Linked DNA regions of Saccharomyces cerevisiae S288C. Changing the gene in region 1 together with any one later gene gives a genetic interaction. Each region holds a gene or a part of one and is shown on either strand. Other genes may lie near its edges.

Region 1 (3,758 bases):
GTCAACATGATTTGGGCGGAAACGTTTATGAGTGGTATTGTACGTGACATTATGATTATGAAAGATAATCGTGCGGATGGAGAATCCCAGAATTTGGTAGAAACACTAATTTTCAATCCATTTACCTCGGGTGAGTTGGAAGATGTTGCCAATAACTTTATTAAACTGTTCCCCTTGGTCTATGAAAAAGGTGTTTATTTAGATGCACCTACTCACGTTTTAAATCCCTCGTTAACCAATAATTATTTAGTGGAAACTTTAGTGGAAATAGTTAGGTTAACTAAGAGTTTGGAAGCATGTCGTAAAATGCTCAAGAAGTTAATAGAAATTCATCCAGAAGCAGTAATAATATTAATTCGTGTTTATTTTGCGTGCGATTTAGAGATAGATGCAGTTGACCTGATCAACGAGCAACTAAATTCCCCCTCTTCGTTCTTAGCCGACGATTCAAAGACTAGCCATATCCAGCTAATCTTCAAATCCGAATTATTAAGTATTCAAAGTGAATTCTTACTGGATGTCAAGAGAGATTACAAGCTTGCTAAGGAAGTAGCCATGGAGGCTGTTAACTGTGCACCAAACGAATTTAAAACTTGGTATTTATTGACTAGAATATACATTAAACTAAACGATATGTCAAATGCCTTGCTATCGTTAAACGCCTGCCCCATGTCACAGGTTAAGGAAAAATACGTTCTTAGAAGAATTGCGCCTATTACTTCAGATGAAAATCTTCATCTGCCATTACCATTGGATGCCTCAATTGAGGAGATTTCGTCATTGAACCCCATGGATGTCCAGTTGGAGCAAAAGTCCGCAGATCCAAACCTAGTCAATCTCTCTGCGTCAAGTTTAAAGTCTACTTTCCAACTAGCCTATAAATTATTGACAGAAATTGTCCAAATAACAGGATGGGAGCAGCTGTTGAAATATAGATCAAAAATTTTCGTTATGGAAGACGAGTACCAAGGCTCCACTTCTTCCATTGATGAAGCAGAAGTTCGCGGTAATGATATATCCAAAATGAGATCAAAGAGGCTATGCGAAAGATGGTTGGATAATCTCTTCATGTTACTATACGAAGATTTGAAAACTTACACCGATTGGCAATCAGAGCAATTGTATTTTGATGCTCAAAACAGTAAATATCACAAATTAACTGTTGAATGGGAATTATTCGGCCTTTGTGCGAAAAGACTGGGACATCTTCCAGAAGCTGCGAAGGCTTTCCAAATTGGGCTTTCCCAAAGATTTTCTCCAGTATGCGCAAAGAATCTATTACAGTTTTACATTGACGAGCATAAGCGTATTAGGAGGGATTCAGTCTCAGCAAACTCCGAGTTAACCTCTTCTCAAATATTGTCAAGTATCAATGACATCGACAGCTCAATCATCGATCTAGTAGTCAAGATTTGTTGCTGGAATCATCGTTGGTACATCGAGTTCTCAATAATATTAATAGATGCTCTGAGTGTTGCAGTACAAGATATGGGCATTACTAAAGTACATAATGAAATTGCCTCTAGATTTTCTGACCCAGTAGCCCAATTGATTGACGATAACATTCTAAATTTTCTGAAGAATTTCACGAATGACACTTTCGATAATTAGAAAAAGATGAATACAATCAATAAAAAGGTGAAAGAAATCAATTAACAAGAAACGGGTTATGTATTTTATGTATGATATCCTGGCATTGTCATGTATAGGTCACCTTCTTGGGGAATTTCCCATTTTCAAGTTATTCTGCCTCTAATGCGATAACCGTAATCTTAAATTGTTTAATTTCTTTTTCACAATCTGAGCCACGCCCGAAAAAAAAACAATGTAATCCGCGTAAAGCGAAACTGAGTATAACCCAAAAATAGAATGTAAATTAATGAAAAGCCCATTTCTCCAAAAGATCAGCTTTACTCAAATATCTAATTAAGTAATTGACTGTGTACATTGTCCTTTATCTCATTTTGAATCACCTTTATTAATTTTTGGTTGTTATATAGGACGAACAAATTAGAACGAAATCATATCCAGAACGCAGATATGATCGTCAATATTAGTGCGAAGATGATCTTATCGATATGCTTTACGTTTCTGTCATTTTTTAAAGCCACTCATGCCATGGATTTGGATACTACTAGCAAAACGTCAATTTGTGATGCGACAGCGTTAATTCAAGGTGGTATGCTGGATTACTATGAGGGTACTAGATACGGTGGTACCGTTGGGATGTTTCAGTCACCATACTATTGGTGGCATGCAGGGGAAGCATTTGGTGGCATGTTGGAAAATTGGTTTCTTTGTGAGAATGATACATATCAAGAATTACTATACGATGCACTATTAGCGCAAACTGGTTCCAATTACGATTATATCCCGTCCAACCAAACGATGGTTGAGGGGAATGATGACCAAGGTATTTGGGGTATTACTGTTATGGGTGCTGTCGAGAGAAATTTTACAGACCCCGGTGACGGCAAGCCAGGTTGGTTGGCAATGGTACAAGCTGTTTTCAACACCATGTACTCAAGATGGGATTCAGAGCACTGTGGCGGTGGTCTGAGATGGCAAATTTTCACTTGGAATAGTGGTTATAATTATAAAAATACAGTTTCAAATGCATGTTTGTTCCAGATTGCGGCGAGGTTGGGCAGATATACTGGTAACACTACATATTTGGAGGTTGCTGAACAGGTTTTCGACTGGCTAGTGGATGTCGGGTATGTGGTTCTTAACGATACTGCAAATGTCTTTGATGGTGCTGAAATTGATACAAATTGCACTGATATTACAAAAATTGAATGGACTTATAATCACGGTATCGTGCTTGGTGGTCTTGCATACATGTATAATGCTACAAATGGAACAGGTGAATGGGAGACCAGTTTGACAAAAATTCTAAATGGTGCTAAATCTTATTTCTTCAAAGATAGTATTATGTACGAAAGCGCTTGTCAAGACTATGGCACCTGTAACACCGATCAAAGAACATTCAAAAGTATTTTTTCTCGTATGCTTGGTCTTACAAGTGTCATGGCTCCCTTTACTAGGGACACAATTGATGATTTGATAAAAACAAGTGCTGAGGCCGCTGCAAAATCATGTAATGGTGGTACAGATGGGCATACATGTGGTTTAAATTGGCAGAAACAAACCAATGATGGCTACTATGGATTAGGTGAGCAAATGAGTGCTCTAGAAGTTATTCAAAATCTTTTAATTCATGACAGGCCAGCTCCATATAAGGAAGATAATGGCGGTACGTCAAAAGGTGACGCGAATGCCGGTATGAACTCATCGACCACTAACGTGCTACAAAACAATTTAAACATTAAGAAAGGTGATCGCGCTGGTGCCGCTATCATCACAGCAGTCATACTGAGTGTGCTAACTGGTGGGGCTGTGTGGATGCTGTTTTAAATGTGTCAAACTAGGCTCAAAAAAATTTTATTGTATTCTAATATTTAGGCTATCCTTTTCTTTCAGTAAAAATGTTTATGTGCTACATACAAAACCCTTCATGATCAAAAACTGATTAAAATTTAGAGAGGAACAATTGTTTTTAAAAAAAATACTAAAAAACACTCACGATGGGGGTCGAACCCATAATCTTCTGATTAGAAGTCAGACGCGTTGCCATTACGCCACGCGAGCTAGTCATATGTTTCTTTCGTCTTTTTCATCTGATGACATTCTAGTGGAACATTTATGGTAAGATACCGATTCCATTTTAAGGATTTCTATACCCTCGAGGAGAACTT
Region 2 (3,664 bases), on another chromosome or scaffold:
AGCACTTTACCCGAGTAGATCAGTTTTATTTGAGATTCTTCACAAGAAATGGATTGAGCAAGCTTGGTCTTGGTCTCTAAAATTGTGTTTGAAGGTTCCAGATCTAAAGGAACTTTTTCCTTCTTGAAATTTTTAAAGGTTAAGCTAACCATTTTTCTATTGTATGTTGTCTTTGTGTGATCTGTGATTTAAAGGTGGAGTTAGATGCCTTTATTAAGTCTTTAGAGGAAGGAAAATTGGATGGTAGCAAGCTTGTCTGCGAACGGCCTTATCAATGGTTCAAACTTAAAAACAGGGAGAAAAACCTAAGTGTACCTTCTAGCTTTAGCTACTAGTCAATACTGGATGGGACCTTGTTCTATCATTTTTTCTTAAGTTTTGCTGTCGCTATTTCTTGCCTAGCCATAATGAAAGAGAAGAAAATAAAAAAATTTCAATTTCGCCACCGAGCCGTGTATAGTGATTGATATAACAATGGTATTGTAATTCACTCAAAGAAAAGTTAAAGACCAAAGAATAGAGGTTTGATATTATTATCGGTATATATGTACAACTATATGAATTCGTACTTCATATGTAGGTCACTAAAAAACCGAGCCTAGTTTCTATCAGGGTCGAAGTCTAATGGAACTTCTTTAGGATGTTTTTTCTTGTTCTTGTCGTTGTCATCAAGAGGTTTCCCCTGCGGGTTGCCGTCGAGCTGTTGTTGCTGTTGCTGTTGCTGCTGCTGCTGTTGTTGTTGTTGTTGCTGTTGTTGTTGTTGTTGGTTGTTTGGTGAGACAAAGTCACCCTTTGAGTCCACCAGCTCCGAGCCATCTCCCTCTTCAGACCAGTCTACAGTGACTTTATTGTTCAAAGTGGAGTCAATGTTTTTTAAGATTGAATCTCTTTCTTCGTTCCATTGGTCTCTGACATCTTCAAATCCAATCTCCCAGATCTTGTTGTAAAATTCGCGAATTCTCTCTTCTTCTAGTTTCCGCTTCTCCTCTTCAGCCATCCAAGCCATGTGCTTTAAGTCGTCGCTGGAAGGTTCGTAGATGTGCCAGATGACATAATGGGGCAAGCCGATGACATTGTAATTCATCCTGCGGGAGAGCCTACCGAATGCTTCTGTCTCTGCGTGCTTTTCAAAGGAGAATGCAGGAAAGTGTGAGCCTGTTCTGAATACTTTAGCTTTCGCGAGAATCGAGACCCCTCCAATACCGTCCAATTCCATTTCGTCTTCTGGATTACCGTTTGGGTCTCTCATGTATGCCAGGTGAGGTCTCCAAGTGGCGTACTCTGGGTACCCTTCCACAATGACAGCATCTTCGTCTAGGGAATCCGCCAATTGAAGACCCCCTTCTGATTCCTTCCATGAATTTAAATCGTAGGGTTGAATGTTTCCCAGCCAGTCTGGTAAAGGTCTCCAGACGTTGGGGACAATGACGTCCTTGTCGTGATGCATTAGATCCTCCATGATGGTAGTGGGGATGGTTTCGACATCCACGTCTCTCCAGTAAACCCAGGAGTGGTATGGTTTCAGGGCCACGGACCCAAGCCAATTACGAGCCCTGGCCATCAGCTTTCTTCTGGGGCCCTGGGCGCCAAACCCGTGACGATCAGAAAAGGACTGACCAATGATTTGGCCGAAGTCCTTCTCATAGATTTCGATGTTACCAAACCTTTTGGACTTGTCTTGTTGCGATTGCGCCATCTGTAGATTGGATAGTAACACGCCCATGGTGTTATCCGAAGAGTCACTCACCAAAAACGACAGATCAATCAGGTTGTGCGGATATGTCATGGTATTCAGATGGTTAAAAAACATGGGAAGATGCTCAGAAGCATCTCTCAGTGGCACGCAAAACAAGATGCGGTCACCCTGTTGCCAACCATCTTTGTTGCCTTGGTAATTTCGTAGGTCGTAGAACTCTACGCTGGGAGTATTTTTAAAATCTGGAACATAGGGCTTGAAGATTCCTTGGAAAGTTACCAGCTGGAATAGCGATATCGAGAAGAACGAAAGCACGAGTCTTGTGAGAAAGAACACCGTAAGCAACGTTCCAGCGATACTTACTGTGGTAGGGTTGAACGAGAGTTTTCTGTTATTATACTTCATTATGGACGTACACTTTGCATGAAAGCCACAAGGAACTGTTTAATGGAGCGAAAAAAAGATGATGAGGGTAAATCGCACCAACACTCGCCTAGCAACTGAGTGATGAATGGTTTTGCAATGCTTGCTGTCTCTACTAACAGATCTTGGCGTTTTTGAATCGTGTAGTTATTTTTATTTATTTTTTTTATTTCATGTTTTCATGATTTCATCTTACGCAATTTTTTCACGATGAGACAAGGCGGGCGACCCCACACAAGAGGAAAATTGAACACAATGCGTTGGTAAAGGGATTACGAATTGATTAAACCAACATAGTGAGACAAGAAAAGAAAAGAAAAGAAAAGGAAAATGAAAAAAAATAAAAAAAAGAAGGCAACTAGACCAGATGAGCCCGGTTCATTTCTATTCTCTGCAGTCACTGCTATTTTCATCAACAGCGCAGGCCAAGTTGAACGAGATAGTAGCAATCGTAAAAGGAACTAGCTAACTTCATCATGAAAGTTTACCCTTTCTTGCCGCTACCCTTCTCGTTTGGCTGGTATTAGAGCACAGCGGATATATCCGGCTCAACAGTATAAGTAACGATAAGTCCTGACCATTGGCTTCGTTCTGGTGGCATTTTCTCTGAGGGGTGAGAACAGCAAAACGGGAACGGCGACTTGGAGTAGTATAACGCTGTAGCTGGACGCTGAGGGGCCAAGGCCGGTAAAATTCTGCAACACCCAGACCTTGCTGCAGTGATATCATCCACCCATACCCCTCGATGTATTCCGTAGCGTTATATCGGGTCCGTGTGAGGCGACAAGGGACCTCCCGCACCGCACATACCGCAGGAGCTAAAAGAAACGCCGTCGCCCGAAAAAAAGTTTCGAAGGTGAAGGAACAGTGGTAATAAAAATTTTTTTCGTCGTCGTCGTCGATCGGCTTTTGGCCGCGTTGATCGTCGTGTTCCACGATTATATAATGCACAAGGTTTTTGCCATATCTTGACATTGGAATCCCTCATTTCCTAAATTCCTCTCCTTCTATCAATTGCTTCCTTTCCTTCTTTCTAACGATTCTACTTCTGTAGCCAATTACTCATAGACTCCCAAACACACACAAATACCAACTCATATATACAATGTCTGACGAAGAACATACCTTTGAAACTGCTGACGCTGGTTCCTCCGCCACCTACCCAATGCAATGTTCTGCCTTGAGAAAGAACGGTTTCGTTGTCATCAAGAGTAGACCATGTAAGATTGTCGACATGTCCACTTCTAAGACTGGTAAGCACGGTCACGCTAAAGTCCATTTGGTTGCCATTGATATCTTCACTGGTAAGAAGTTGGAAGATTTGTCTCCATCTACTCACAACATGGAAGTTCCAGTTGTCAAGAGAAACGAATACCAATTGTTGGACATTGATGACGGTTTCTTGTCTTTGATGAACATGGACGGTGACACTAAGGATGATGTCAAGGCTCCAGAAGGTGAATTGGGTGACAGTTTGCAAACTGCTTTTGATGAAGGTAAGGACTTGATGGTTACCATCATCTCCGCTATGGGTGAAGAAGCCGC

Evidence for each region. A genetic interaction does not mean that the proteins touch.
Region 2: mutations in DFG5 (region 1) and ANP1 together harm fitness less than expected from each alone (positive genetic interaction), as found in Saccharomyces cerevisiae (2 studies listed by BioGRID).

Annotation. Positions count from the first base shown.
Region 1 is NC_001145.3:744,313-748,070, forward strand, and holds DFG5 (putative mannan endo-1,6-alpha-mannosidase), read left to right. Parts: upstream 1-2,040; coding exon 2,041-3,417; downstream 3,418-3,758. Other genes in the region: BCH1 (exomer complex subunit), read left to right, coding at 1-1,611. UniProt on the Saccharomyces cerevisiae protein: Required for normal synthesis of the cell wall.
Region 2 is NC_001137.3:82,452-86,115, forward strand, and holds ANP1 (Anp1p), read right to left. Parts: upstream 2,102-3,664; coding exon 599-2,101; downstream 1-598. Other genes in the region: RAD23 (Rad23p), read right to left, coding at 1-152; UTR5 (Utr5p), read right to left, coding at 2,594-3,094; HYP2 (translation elongation factor eIF-5A), read left to right, coding at 3,225-3,664. UniProt on the Saccharomyces cerevisiae protein: Involved in the organization of the secretory pathway. Required to maintain a functional Golgi apparatus.